Caenorhabditis elegans: one gene and its partner. The protein of the gene in region 2 binds, or shares a complex with, the protein of the main gene of each other region. Each region holds a gene or a part of one and is shown on either strand. Other genes may lie near its edges. The genes, in order: immt-2 and chch-3.

Region 1 (8,707 bases), on a different chromosome or scaffold from region 2:
CACGTTTCTCGCCCTTTCGTCACACACAGGTCATCCTGTACTTTATCAATTTTTCGATTTGTCTCGGACCAAGACTATATAGAGATCGCATTACACATCAATCGTTGACTTTTTACGTATGCCGTCGTTAAATTGCGACACAATTAGGTGAAGATTGATCGGGGGAGACGGATTCTGAAATCAACATGTTTTCCTGTTTTTTGAACACGCGCCACTGCTGCCGGAAGAAAATTTGGCGAATTTTAGTTGCAGTAGAACTGTTTTTTAACAAATAAATAATGGGATTTGCACAATTTTTTTTGGCGAATTCGATGATGACGTACAACTATCTTGTTTTTTTTCAGGAGAAACTGGGCACCTTGGCGCGAAAATCCAAACGGAACACGAATTCTCACAACTTTATCAAATATTCGCTGAAGAAGTCCTCGGATCCGGACAGTTTGGTACTGTTTACGGAGGAATCCACCGACGAAATGGTCAACACGTCGCCGTGAAGCTCATCGATAAGCTGAAATTCCCGCCGAACAAGGAGGATCTGTTGCGGGCTGAAGTGCAGATCTTGGAGAAGGTCGACCATCCTGGGGTGGTTCACTTCATGCAGATGCTTGAGACGACTGATCGGATCTTTGTTGTGATGGAGAAGCTGAAGGGTGACATGTTGGAGATGATCTTGTCCAGTGAGAAAGGAAGGCTTTCGGAACGGACTACGCAGTTCCTGGTGGCTCAGATCCTTGAAGCTCTCCGTTACCTTCATCATTTGAATATTGTGCATTGTGACTTGAAACCGGAGAATATCCTTCTCAACTCGAACTCGGACTTCCCACAAGTCAAGCTTTGCGATTTCGGATTCGCTCGAATCATTGGAGAGAAGAGCTTCAGGCGGAGTGTCGTCGGAACGCCTGCCTACCTGGCGCCTGAAGTTCTACGGAACAAGGGATTCAATCGATCGCTCGACATGTGGAGTGTCGGTGTGATTGTCTACGTCTCACTGTCGGGAACGTTCCCGTTCAACGAGGACGAGGATATCAACGATCAGATTCAGAACGCCGAATTCATGTACCCGCCGACACCGTGGAAGGAGATCTCTGAGAATGGTAGGGCGAATACTTTTGTTAGAAAAGAATCTGTGAGATTTATTGAATTCTTTTGCAGCTATCGAATTCATCAACGGACTGCTCCAAGTTAAGATGAGCAAGCGGTATACGGTGACGAAAGCGCAGTCGCAGATCTGGATGCAGGTAGGCATATGGAGACCTTTTTTGGGTCTCGCAGCGAAAATTTTTTCGAGCTGAAAAAGTTAAAAAAAGAAAATTAAAGATTTTTTCTGTGAATTGAAAGCTGAACTTTTTTTTACTTTCTACTGTAAAAATTGTGAAAAAAAATTCTAAAATATTTTTTTAACGAAAATTTAAAATTTTCAAAATTTGGGGAAAAAACACAAAAATCAGGAAAAAATACGAAAATCTCTTTTTTTTTAATTTGAAAAAATCCGAAACATCGGCTTTAAAAAATTTCGAATTTAGAAAAAATGTTTGAAATTTTTTTTTAATAGCAAAAAAAAGTTTTACCTGCAAAAAATCGGGAAAAAAATCCGAAAAACTTAGAAAAAAATTGTATTTTTTTAATTTGCAATCATTTTAAAATCATATGAAATTTAGAAAAATCCAAAAAAAGTAAAGAAAAATTGCAAAAAAAAATAATTTTAATCCAAAAATCCGAAAAAAAATTTACTTACAGAAAAATCGGTTTAAACATTTTTTTAAGGATAAATAAAAATTGTTTTAAGCGCAAAAATCCTTTGAAAAAAAATAATACAAATTGCAAAAAATGCATTTTTTTTTTGTTGGTTTTTCAATAAAAAATAATTTCGAAAATTAATTTTTTTACGAAAAAATTGAAAAACTTTTTTTTTCAGAACTACACCCTATGGTCGGATCTACGAGTACTGGAAAAAGCTGTCGGTCAACGATTCGTAACTCATGAAAGTGATGATGTGAGGTGGCAGGCTTACGAAAAAGAGCACAATGTGACTCCGGTCTACGTATAATATCCAGCAGCAGGACCCCCAGAGAAACTTTTCATATTTTTTGCATCTTCTTGTCACATATCCATTTAAATTTTATTTCGTTTTTTCTTGTTTCATAATTTTTTTTCCAAATTTTCTCACTCACATTCCCTGTGTTCCCACACCCATTTCTTAAAACATTCCTAGTCGAAAAATCCTCCTAATTTTTACGTTTTTCCCCGTTTTTCACCAAAAAATCGGAATCCAACCCCCACCCAGCGCACACAAAATTTGCCATATGATCCTCGAAAATTTCCCGATTTTTTTCCAAATTTGTCCAATTTTTACCAAAATTTGTTCTTTTCTATTCACTTTTCACCGCAAAAAATGTTTGAAATTTCATCAGATTTTCTTGTCTAATGATACGCCCGAAGATTTATTTATATATGTGTATGTTTTGATTGAATTATTACTTTTTCTTTATTGAATGAATTGGTGTAACTGAAAATATATTTTATATTTTTTTGCAAACAAACAATGACAATTTGATCGAAACAAATGAGGAAACAAATTTTTTTATTTTTTCTTCCAAAATTGTTCCATCAGAAAAGCTAGATTTTCCAATAATTTAGACACAAGTTGTTAGGGCTAGATTGTTTTGTTCTGGAAGTTCAAATTTCTGAGAAAAATCATTTTCCAAGTTTCAACTATAGAAATCGCACCTAAAAAATTGTTTTTGAATTATTGGAAAATCTAGCTGTCCTGTTGAAGCAAATTTGCATTTTTTGGAAAATACTTAAGACAAACATTTATTTCAGCTAGATTGTTTTGTTCTGGAAGTTCAAATTTCTGAGAAAAATCATTTTCCAAGTTTCAACTATAGAAATCGCACCTAAAAAATTGTTTTTGAATTATTGGAAAATCTAGCTGTCCTGTTGAAGCAAATTTGCATTTTTTGGAAAATACTTAAGACAAACATTTATTTCAGCTAGATTGTTTTGTTCTGGAAGTTCAAATTTTCGAATTAGAAATCGAACCTAAAAAATTGTTTTTGAAATATTGGAAAATCTCGCTGTTAGAACGCCAGATTAAACTAAAAAGTTAGAACGCCAGATTAAATTATGCAGCAACCACCATGAAGTCGCTGCCGATGAGCTTTTGTGCGCGCTTGGGTGCCGATTTGAAATCAATTAGCTGAGAGGAAACCATTTTTCCAATGAAGACTCTTCTGCTTCGCTGAAATTTGCCAAAAAATGTCAAAAAATCTATCGAGTTCACAATCCAGGACTACGGTAGACTTTGAAATCTGCATTCTGACGTGACCGTGTACACGAAAGTACGTGACACGTCAAACAGATTTAAAAATCTTTTTTATATAATTTTTCCAATTTTTCAATCATTTCGAGCGGTTTTGAGTGTTATTCTTCAGATTTTTAATTCAAAAGTCATGCGTGGAAGTCGTAATTTATTGGTATGTTCATATTTATTAAATATTAATCAAATTCGGGAACTTTCAGACTCAGCGACTGGCTTCTTCTCGAGCAACTGGTTCTTCGGGAGGTCTCAAGTTTGTCGGAGCCACTGTTGGAGCGGTAACTGCTGGTGCAGCAGGAGTTGCTGGATACGCTTCTTATGATAATGAGTTCAGAAAGAAGGTTTTAAAATTTAAAATTAAAAAAAAACAAAAAAAAAATCAAATTCCAGCTAGAAGGCGTGATTCCCGGTTCTCGAACTATTTTGAATTACACGATCGGAGAAGAAGAACCGCCGGCGCCTCGTCTTAAAGATCTTCGACCTCTGCAATATTCCGCAGATCCGAAAGTTCCACCAAAGCCATTTGAGCCGAAGCCCGTGAAAAAAGAGCTGATCGGAGTTAAGGAGAACCTGAAAGAGACTACTGAACCAAAGAAAATCGAGAAAAAGCCCGAAAATCCATACATCGGCGCGAAGACTCCACTGAATCCCCAGGAAAGGAACGAAAAGCTCACGGAATCCCTGAAAAACCACCTAACTCAAGCCGAAAAAGCCACGAAAGTTGCGACTAGCGCCAAATTGGAAACGATTCGAGCTATTGAGCATCACGTTCAGACAATTCGTGAGGCTATTGAAGCTGGAAAAGACGGAGATTGGGATTCAGTGACTGTTGCTCATCTGAAGGCAAAACGGCTCGCTGAAAAGGATGAAAAAGCCGAGAAATTGGCTAGAAATGCCGTCGCTGACCTTGTCACGGAGGCAAACCTCGGCGGTCAAGGTGAGACTACTCAGCTGAATCCACTGGTTCCAATCTCAAAAGCAACTGCTGAAAAGCTCTCAAACGAGCTGGATGAGATGATTTCAAACGTGAAACATGTCGATTCGGAGCGTATTTTCGTGCATGACTACAGTGATCGTGTAGCGGAGAGCCGCAGGAAATTCCAAATGGAACTGAAAGCAGTTCATCCGAATTTGAATTATGAAGATGGAATGAAGATCAAAAAAGCGGATTTGCACACGATTTTGGCTCATGCTCACTTGAGAATTGATCAGCTCAGCCAGAAATTGATTGATAGCAAGGCAAATATTCATTTTTTTGGCATAGTTGTAAAGAAAATTGCGTTTAAATCTCAATTTCTCCTCTAAAGTCGATTTTTCGAATTTTTCCTGTGAATTAATGCATTTTTTCCTGAAAATTTTGAAAAAAGAACGAAAAAAAATTGAAAATTATGTGTGTCGATTTACGCAGCTCGTGTACTCCCCGAGGAGAAGTTTTATTACAGTTTTTCAGCTGAAATGCTTGATTTTGGACTATTTTCACCTAAATTTAATAGCCAAATCGCAAATTTATCACATTTTACTATTCCACTAGAAAAAAGAAAAATTCCAGTTTTCAAATAGTTAAACCGCAAAATGTGGTTTTTATGTATCTCTAAAAAATAAAAAGCGATAGTTATGTGAAAATTGTCGGTTTGGCTTTTGAAAACAGGCAAGAATGGTCTAAAATCGCGAATTTCAGCTGAAAACTTTAAAAAAAACTTCTCCACGGGGAGTACACGATTGGCGTAAATCTACACGAGACGCTGGAAGAGTTTTACACGGTCATTCTGCAATTCTGGCATTTTTTCCGATTTTCCGGAAAATATAAAATTTTTTATAGAAAATTAACAATTAAATTCAATTTAAAAAAACATGATTTTCTTAATTCAAAAATTAAAGCCTTTTTTTGAAAATCTGTTTTTTTCAGATTTCAATGAAAAATGTTAATTTTCCCGATTTTTCAACAAATTTCCTCAAAAAGAAACCAAATTTTAAATGTTTCAGCTCCGAATTCCCGTTTTTTATCGATTTTTTTCCAGCTAAACGAGGAAAAACGCATCCAATCGATCATTGCAAAGAAGAAGGAAGATCTTCTCGAAAAGCTTCGTCTCGAGACCAATGCCAAACAGGCCGCAGTGATCCCAGAGTTCGATAAGAAGAAGCTCGACGCGGAGCTCGCTCGTGCCACTGCTGAAATTCAGAAAAAATACGACGAAAAGCTGAAAGAAGTCGTTCGAACTCAGAAGCAGCTGTACGATATTGAGCACGCGAAGGATGTAGATGAAGCTGTTCTGAAGGAGAGAAATGTATAAAATTAACGATTTTTCCGGATTTTATTTGTTTAAAAATTGAAAAAAATTTCAGCTCCACTCGTCGGCGGTCGGAAAAGCGTTGGCTCAGCTGGCTGGAATTGAAAAAGCGCTTTCTGGACATCTTCAAATGGATATTGAGAATAGAAAGTACTGGATTTAATGTCGATTTACGCGGGCTCTTGTACTACACGACGAGAATTTTAAAGTTTTTTTTCTGAAAATCTCAATTTTGGAGTACTTTTCCTGCTCTTTACCCTTTAAAATGACCAAAATATCCTATTTTTGGCTGAAATTTTTGGTATTTGGCAATTTTTGCTTGATTTTAGCATTCCAAATAGTCAAAATATCGATTTTCATTTAAAACTCGATGAATTATTGATATTTTGACTTTTTTTTTAGTTAAATTCAAGCGTAAACAGTCCAAAATCGACAATTTCAATCAAAATCCGCCAACTTGTGCGAAAATGTTTTGAATCAAAATCTGAAAAAAATCCCACCATTTTTCCAGATCGAAACAAATGTGGCTAGCCACCCAAAATCTGAAGGGAACTGTAATTTTCGGAAATCGAGCCAGCTGCTGCATGGAGGGAAGACGTGCTCCACTGGGAGATCAAATGAAGACACTTCTCTCGTGCTGTGGTGGTGGAAACTCTGATGAATTCGTGAAAACCATCAATACGGCAATGTCGAAAACCTCAAAAGTCCGCGGGGAGTACACGGAGCAGGATCTGAACACACGCTTCAACAAAGTCTGCCGAATCGGACGTCGTGTTGCCTATGTCAATGAAGGTGGAGCTCTGGCTCATCTCTACTCGTGGCTCAAGTCTTCCCTGACTATTGAGCTCGTCCCGAAGAAGGGTGCTAATGAGAGGTAGTAGTGTCTGAAATGATATCTATCTGTAAAAAAACTATAATTTCAGCCTGACCCCAGCTGTCGAGAACAACTTCACCTTGCTCACACGTGCCGAGCAACTCTGGAAGTCTGGCAAAAAGTCCGACGCGATTCGTGTTCTTCAGCTGACCGACGGGGCCACCCGTAGAGTTGCTGCCGATTTCATCGCTGATGCTCGCCGCCAACACGAGGCACTTCTTCTTTCACGTCTTCTGCTCGCCCACGCGGCTCTCACCTCCATTCGTTCCACTTATTAATAATTATTGAATATGCCAAGTAGTACGTCGTCTGTTGTCTGTCTGAGAATTATGTGTTCTCTCAAAATAATAAAATTATTATTATTTTTTACTTTTAAACAATTTATCAATCAACAAAAACAACAAATTTTACAGCAGTTAAATCAAAAATTATAAATTATCCAGACGACGTCGCTGCTACTGGCTCAGGAGTGACTTCTGCTGGAGCCTCGGCTTCCTTCGGAGCATCTTGAGCCTCTGGAGCAACACCATCCTGCTCCTTGGCCGCCTTGCTCGCACAAGCCGCCGCCATCGTCACAAAAGTCTTCTTCTCGGGCTCCTCAGCTTCCGCATTAGCCGTGAAGTCGTGATGAACAAGATCCGCAAGCCATTTGAGCATTCCCTGAGTGAGCAGCTCCGTCTCGATCATATCCTTGGTGATGAGCTCGAACTTGGTCCGCTCGATTTCTTTTTCGATGATCTCTCCCCAATCGGTCAGTGGTTCGTGGGATTTTGAATTCTTTCGATCGTAGGAATCGTAATGAGTCCGCTCGAGGAGGAGACCCAGTCCTGGAGCCATTGGGATATCCATCTGAAATTTTTTATTTTTTTAAGTTTAAAAGTTTTCGGCTAAAATGCTAGATTTTTGCACTTTTTAATCTCTTTTTCATTTGGATTTCGTTAGAAATTAATTATTTTCGTCTAAAAAAGGTGTTAAACTCGTGAAAAAGCGGCAAAATTGCGCGAAAACTGTTAAATTTTGCGGAAAATAATTCGAAATTGTCCACGAGGAGTACACGCTTGCGTAAATCTACACAATTCTTAAAGGGACATGTACCTCGTGCGCGTGATCTCGCAACGATGCGCGTTTGCCGCTTCAAAATAGGGTTTTTAAAATATTTTTTGGTGAAAAAGATTTAAAAAAACACAAATAATGTTATATTTTCACACTTTCGACGCGAAAATATCGAAAAAATGTTTAAAAATTGTGTTTTTTCGACTGTTTGAAGTTGAAAAAACACCGAAAAAACAGGAAAAAAACACGAACTCGCTGTCCCTCGAATGATCTTTGAATCGACGACTTTAAATGCAGTTCCCGAATGACTGTAATCACCATTCCGACCATTTTTCGAATCTGATGAAGTACAAATGATTGTCCTTTAATCACAATTTGCACGAATTCCACGTCTTCTTTACGAAAATCGTCACGAAAAAGGAATGGTTCTTTGCATTCGAATGAGATAATGTATCGATTGGAGCTCATATCATCGTAGGCTCTTTTAGCGGTATAATTGAAGAAATTGTGGGTTCCGAGGTAGATTGAGAGAATACTGTTCACCTCTGCCAAGGTTTCCGGGGAAAGTCGGAAAGAGGAGTTGGTGAGCTGGAAAATCAAGAATTTTTAGAGATTCTCACGGAATATCAGCGGGAAATTCGATTTTTCGATCAATTTTTGCCCGAAAATACAGGTTTCCAGTCTTTTTTCGCCTGAAAACTTGATTTTTCAGTCTATTTCCGCAGAAAATTCACATTTTCAGCGTGAAACTAAAATTTTCGGTCAAACTTTGCCGGGAAATTCAATTTTTCAGCTAATTTTCGGCGAAAAATCCAAATTTAGCCTCTTCTATACCTCCGTAGGCTTTGCAAACACAAAAGATGGACACGTGTAGCTATAGGTTCGATGATCACACTGCTTCTGTGGATGGAAGAAATTCGTGGTCCGACGCATTCCAAAAACACGAATATCGGCTGGAAGAATGTTGTTAAGAATTCCAGCTCCCTCAGCTTGATACTTGGCGTCATCTCTGGGTAGTTGCATTCCGCACATCTGGAAAAATGATATAAAATTCGCTATTTTTTCCTTTTTTCAATGAAGTTTTTCGGCTTTTCAGTGAAAAAAACACTGATAACAGCAGCAAATTAGTAAACTCCAACCTGTCTAGCAGCTGATACTGCCCTATCAGTTCTC
Region 2 (6,577 bases):
ATTAAAGCTTCTGACATTAGGTAGTCTAGTCATAATTGTAAGAAATATTTTCAAAAAATAGGAAAAAGGGAGAAATACACTGTAAATAGAATATGTACAGGTTCAGAAGTTAGTGATCATCAGTTGATTTTTACAGATTTTTTCACAGGGTTCACAGCCATCGTATTTCCAAAAAGAATGAAATATTGAGCAGAGTAGTAGGTTGAGAGGACACAGAATGATGGAGCCAACTTCCAATATCCAGTGTGTGAGAGCATGAGCACCGAGTCTGAGATGTAGAAGAGGAAGAAGCCAATGGCACGGTAGAGGAGCCCCTGCAATAGAAAATTGTATTATATCAAATGTGCAGTTAAATCAAACCTCTTCATTCTGTGACTTTGATCCATTGAGATACTGTGAGACAGCTATCAACGTACACGTTGATAGAAGAAGTGAATAACTGGCAAAGACAGTCAATGGGCCTCTATGATCAGCAAGCATCGGAATGAAGCAAAGTTGTCCAATGACTAAAGCCCATGCCAACATTCCAAGAAGGAACTTTGTATGAATTTTGGTGGCATGTTGCCGGTAGAGACTCTGAAAAGCTCTGTGATAATTGATAATTCTGAGCATAGGTAAAAAATTTCAGAAACTGTTCTTTGACATTTCTCCAATTTTTAGAAAATAGTTAGCGATTCTCTGAATATCCCCCGATTATTTTTTTAAAGACTACTAACAATGTTCTTTATAATCTTTTTGTGTAATAATAACCTTTTGAAACTCTGAATTACTGTCAAATTGATCTGTTGATAAAAAAATATTGGAGAAATCTATATTTACGAATTTTTCCTTTATTAAACTTGGTATTTGGGCAACAACCACATGCTTAGCATTGTCCGAAAATTCTTATCTTGGTTCGGAATATAAACTTAATCCACACTTGGGTGAAACTTGGCTTCGACCAGGCCCAAGTTTAGATGCCTATCTTTTGTCAATCTTCTACCCAAATTTTTCTTCTGGACCGAGTTAATATCTAAGTGTCAAAGTACCACGTACATGATATTTGATTGTTACATCTCGAAATTATGTCTTCAATGACCAAACTCACCAAGTAAAAGAGGTGACCAATTCCAAAAGCGACAGCTCCCAAAATGATTCCATCATGGCGCATTCCAATAATCCAATCACCGACTCCTCCGAAGAACAAGCCAGCGGCAGCAGTTTTGCGTTGCTCTTTTCCTAGTCCACCTCCATTTAAGTATGCAAAAGCAACAAGTAGAATGATTGGAGTTATTTTCCTAAAACATTTTGGTACATTATGAAAGTATAAATATTGAACTTTAATGTACATTTTAAAAAAACCTTTGAACCTTTGAAATTATATCAATCTGTTATCAATTTATATACACTCACCAAAAGGAATAGCTGAATGTGTAGTGATCATTGAAACCATTTGATTGGTAGTAAAAGTTGGCTACCAATAGGAAATAAGCCAATCCAATTGAAGAAAGCTGTGACTGCATCTGGAAGAATTAAAAAAATAAACAAAAAATTGATGCCGGGAAATTAATTTTAACAAAATATGGGGCACGTTTAAAGCTAGACAATTTTCTAATACATACTTTTTAGAATGACTTGTACTTTAATATCGAGAGCGTCCAATAAGGGGAGGTAAGATGTTCTAAGTGCACTAGTTTTCAGAAGGGTATGTCAATTAGGGTCTCGAGTGGAAATGATGTAACTTTCGTATTCTAATAAGCTAGAAAAACAACAAAGTGATGGAAACAGGAATTCGTTTCAGGATTCAAGTGTTGGTTTTTGCAGTAGTAAGAGTTCAACGATAGTCTTATCATCATACTTTTCTGTCGTCGAAATTGATAGCGGTGAACCTTGACTATATTGGCTATTCTCTAGTTTTGCAGATCGAGGAATCACTATTTGAATCTTGTGGTTGGAGCCAGCTACAAGTCTTTTTTCTGCAAAACACTATGCTGATAGACGAATTAATTTAAGCAAAATTGTATTTAGTTTGAAATTATTCCATTTACTGTACAAAACAAAAGAAAATTTTGTAATTTATCAAAAACTGGCCAATTTGGCAATTCTCCAAAGTTTTCAAAATCATCGTTAAACTTTTAACTATCATTTGAAGACACAAGTTTCAAAATAAAATAGTCGTTCCAACAAAAAAATAAAGAACCTAAATATAGACCTAATAATCTTCAAAACCAATGACAATAACCTCATATTTTTCAGAGGTGTTTTTTTTGTACTGCGCCAAATAAAAAACGCGTAAACCAGTTCCATCGACCTCTTCCGACAAGAGGATGAAGCGGAAATTTGAGAGGGAGGTGTGTAACACGTAAATAAAGGTGTCCAACCTTCCAACATCTCAATATATTCTCGTTTCTTGGCAATAAGTTATTACACAATTTGATACACTTAATTGGATTCAAGTGTGAATGTTACAGTTATCTTGAAGGTTGAAGTTAATTGGATGAGGCGTTAAGATTTTAGATTTTGTGGACGATAAAATTGTTCTAAAGAGAAATAGTGAAGGACTGAAATTTGATAGTTAACCTGAAACTGCGTGAGACGTCAGGTGCACTTTTGTGGTATGCTTCAGGGGTTGGCTCCGGATCCTGTGAGCACGTGGCACGTGACAATGATAGGAAGGAACAAGTGTTTGTTTGAACTTTATCGTCACTTCCGCGGTCACAAATTTGTATGATTTTTGTTCTCAAATTGGTGAACTAGTTAAATTTGATTTGTTCCAGGAAAAAATCGATTTCATATTTATCAGTTAAGAAAAGGCACTGGAAACGATTTTTGTTTGCTTTGCAAGCAGTTTGACTATTTATGTTCTTTTCGAATTAAAAATGGAGCTACGTTTTGCTACTTTGGAAAAAACTTTTTTCTACAACGCATTCGGAGCAAAAAAAAAGAAAGAAGAATGGAAGCGAAGATGAAGACATGGGAGGCGACTAGAACGAAAAATGCGCGAAAAATGTGAGTGTTGTGCGTTCGGAAACATTGACCAGACGACTAGAGATTTGGTTGGTGGCTCCCTAGCTCTCCAGATAAAGCGTTATTGACCATTGCGTGAAGTTATCTTCTACATGGGTCTTGCCACGAGGACAACAACAAGTTACTGTACTTCCTATCAATTTACGAGTCGCTTTTGCATTATATTTGTATTTAACAAGTTATTCATCAAATTTTAAAACGACAAGGCAATATTGGCCCGTAAATCGACAAGAGTTACAGTAACCCGTTGATCGTGGCGAGACCATGTTATCTGTAGACGACTACGTAAACGAGGTGTCCATATAATAGTTTTAAAAAGTTAGAATCTTGAAAGTCAACAAGACCACACAGTAATAAATTCGAACCTAGTCAGGTGTACTGGCGAGAATCAAATCTGAAATCTATTCAAAAATAACCCGTTTTACCTCATTTTTCTGGTGATAATACGGAACCGCCCATCATCAGTCCCACTGCGTTGTGTGTCCTGTTGTTATCAGCTGTGTTTGTGTACCAAAAAAAATTTGCTACAACGCGTAGCTGATTTTTTAAATATTCTGAAAATATAGTGAAAAATATCTGAAAATTAAGTAAGGGGAAAGATGGGTACAGGAGCGAAATGCCTGTTTTGATTTTGGAATATATAACTTGAAAACGGATTTAAAAGTTCCCTAGAAGTTTATTGTTTCGTTCGTGGAACAAAAAAATTTGAAATAAAAAAGCAAAAGTTTTTGGGTGGGAGGCTGAGGGGGAAATACAAGTTTTGAGAAAACGGGGCACGCACACACACCTATACAACACTACGATCAAAAAAATGTGGGGAAATATGAAACAATGTATTTAAAAATCGATATGAAGAAATTTAATTTCCCTTGAGCACTTGTTGCCTGAACTCGCCGACACATTTCTCGAATGCCTGAAATTATAAAAAGAAAATAATTTGTATCACAATTTAATTAATTGTAGCCTACAAACTATGTAAACAATTGTTTGTTTTATTGAACTAGTATTTGTGTTTTTTAGAGGGATGAAAAGGATATGCCTTCAAAATTTACTCTAAATGTTCATAAATTTTGGAATTTTGCCAAAACTTTCATTTTCGGAAATCTTCAATTTTTTGAAAAATTAAAAAAAAAACCTTCCTGGTATTTAGATACTTTAGTTTTTCCTAAGTTGAAATGAAAACAAAAAAAATAGTTTCAAAATTATTCCCAATTTGAGAGTTATGCAAGACTTCAAATAATTCAAGTGGGTTAGTGATTGTTTTAAAACAATTTTCACAACTTTTATATTTTTTTAAATTTTAATTTTTTACTTTGCTCGTGATTCTAAAAAATTTCCCAAGTTTACCTCAGTAAGTGGAGCACACTTCAAAACACGTCCTGGATTTTCTTGAAGACATCTTACAATCTCCTGAAAAATGTTGGATATTCTCAAAAACTTTCTCAAATTAAAAATTACATTTTCATTATCCTGGCACACATTTTCACGGTGATAAGCGAAGAATTGCTTCTGAACGCGTTCAACAGTGTCATCGAAAATTTTCTTTCTCTCCTCCAAATCATTTCCGGAAATCGAAACTGGGGCGGCGGAAATTCCAGCGGTCTGAAACTTTTAAGTTTAATCCTATCAGGAAAGATTTTTTGATTTTTACCTTTCTCTGTTGCAGCTGACTGAGCTTAGCCATATCTTCTCTTAATCTAGCTTTTTCTTCACGCTCTCGAGCCAATTCTTGTCTGAGACGGTCACTTTCTCCGTCGTTTCCGGCAACTCTGGTCGCATTGACTCGGCTCACAACGTCCGATGATACACCGACGGTTCTGAAACGTTGAATAAATAAAAACTTCCTAGTTTCAAAAGAATTCCCAACGTAAAAAACTCACTTGTACTCCTCGGGAATCTCATTTCGGTCAATGCGCACCACTTCGGGACGTGCCTCTTGTTCTGCACTCTGGGATGCTCCCATCTGACAATTATCGATTAATAAAAGTTTAAACAGACACGAGAAATTAAATATAAAAAATTGAATTGTTTATTTGTTGTTTTGTGTGTAGAAAAATAATTTTGATAGAAACAAAAAATTAGCGTAAAATAAATAGCTAGCGCAATACTCGTGCACGAGATGTGCGCCAGCAGCTCCTTGACGCAAAACGTGACGTTTAGCACCAAAATGATTTTTGCTCTTTGAGTTCTTTGTTTTCGGGAGCAAATTTCATGCCAATCCCTTTCTTTTTTTCAAATTTTCCTGTTAAATTCATGTAATAACTATTATTCATGTCAATTACAACAAATAAGCATCCAAGATTTTATCATAAACTCGTTCAAACCTCCTTTTACCACTCGAAAAGCAATATCTCCGACTTCCTTCAAAGAGAAATGATGACAAAACATAGAAACCTCACGTTATACGTTTTGTCATCACGATTTCAGTGCTCACTTTTCTCATTTCATTCTCGCTTAATTTCATTTTTGTCACTCTCGCGTCATGTTTTGCATTTTTCGAAAGCATTTATTTAAAACTGAAAAAATAATTCGTAATTTTTCAAGAATGGCTCAAAAAGATGACCGGATTTTGCTGTTGAATGCTCCAAGGCTCCCGCTCGAAGATGATAAGCTCAACGAGCTCACCGCTGATCTTCACGATTGGGCTCATGTAAGTTTTTTTCTTAATTTCCGAATTTCAATGAATTTTAAACATCTTTCAGGCTAATGGGCTTGTCATGCGTCTATCAACCGACAAGTTGAGCAGCGAAGTTTGTCAAACTACTCCATTAACACTTCTTCCATCTCCATTCCCGAAAAATGTTTTTGAAGAAGCAGTTCATATTCAGAACCTTTTCGCAAGTCTTTATCACTTCATAGCTTATGAATTTGATTTTCTAATCGATATTCATAAAAATGTCGTGAAAACTGATGATTTCACACGGAATATGGTTGAGATCTTGAAGAAAGTCAAAGCCCAAGGACTCAAGCAACCAGTCACTCTCGCGATTCAACGATCTGATTATATGTGTCATAAGGATCAATATTCAGCGGAATATGGACTGAAACAAATTGAAATAAACAATATCGCCTCGTCAATGGGAGCACATGCTCTACGGCTCACCGAATGGCATATCAGAGTTCTTAAAGCGTTGAACATTTCCGATGACGTCATTCAAAGAGCAATTCCAGAAAACAAGCCAATTCCAATGATCGCTGAAGCTTTATTCAAGGCCTGGTCCCACTTTTCGAACCCAGCAGCTGTGGTTCTTGTCGTTGTAGAAAACGTCAATCAAAATCAGATTGATCAACGCCACGTGGAATATGAACTTGAAAAGTTAGGAGTACCGATGACATGTATTATTAGAAGAAATTTAACACAATGCTATGAACAGTAAGTTTTTGTATTTGAATACAGAATTCTATGTTAAAACTTTCAGATTATCATTGAATGATAGAAGCGATTTGATGATTGATGGGCGTCAAGTAGCAATTGTTTACTTCAGAGCAGGATACTCACCTGATCATTATCCATCTACAAAAGGTTAGCACAATTTTATCAACGTTTAGCTAAATTTTTCTGATATAACTC

Evidence for each region.
Region 1: chch-3 (region 2) and immt-2 share a complex: the UniProt entries of both Caenorhabditis elegans proteins name them as parts of the mitochondrial contact site and cristae organizing system (MICOS) complex.

The regions. Positions count from the first base shown.
Region 1 is NC_003283.11:16,785,927-16,794,633, forward strand, and holds immt-2 (MICOS complex subunit MIC60-2), read left to right. Parts: upstream 1-3,340; 5' UTR 3,341-3,452; coding exon 3,453-3,476; intron 3,477-3,522; coding exon 3,523-3,660; intron 3,661-3,709; coding exon 3,710-4,558; intron 4,559-5,337; coding exon 5,338-5,604; intron 5,605-5,662; coding exon 5,663-5,757; intron 5,758-6,118; coding exon 6,119-6,481; intron 6,482-6,530; coding exon 6,531-6,759; 3' UTR 6,760-6,847; downstream 6,848-8,707. Other genes in the region: Serine/threonine-protein kinase dkf-2, read left to right, coding at 345-1,094, 1,153-1,238, 1,916-2,047; pus-1 (Pseudouridylate synthase 1 homolog), read right to left, coding at 6,917-7,330, 7,787-8,122, 8,369-8,566, 8,674-8,707. UniProt on the Caenorhabditis elegans protein: Sustains mitochondrial morphology probably through maintaining cristae morphology. May act as a component of the MICOS complex, a large protein complex of the mitochondria.
Region 2 is NC_003280.10:9,415,405-9,421,981, reverse strand, and holds chch-3 (MICOS complex subunit MIC19), read right to left. Parts: upstream 4,970-6,577; coding exon 4,887-4,969; intron 4,824-4,886; coding exon 4,658-4,823; intron 4,609-4,657; coding exon 4,465-4,608; intron 4,417-4,464; coding exon 4,354-4,416; intron 4,064-4,353; exon of another isoform or gene 3,975-4,063; intron 3,920-3,974; coding exon 3,866-3,919; 3' UTR 3,666-3,865; downstream 1-3,665. Other genes in the region: M176.4 (lysoplasmalogenase), read right to left, coding at 120-314, 361-576, 1,088-1,277, 1,393-1,502; gss-1 (Glutathione synthetase), read left to right, coding at 5,552-5,656, 5,709-6,379, 6,426-6,529. UniProt on the Caenorhabditis elegans protein: Plays a role in maintaining mitochondrial morphology. May act as a component of the MICOS complex, a large protein complex of the mitochondria.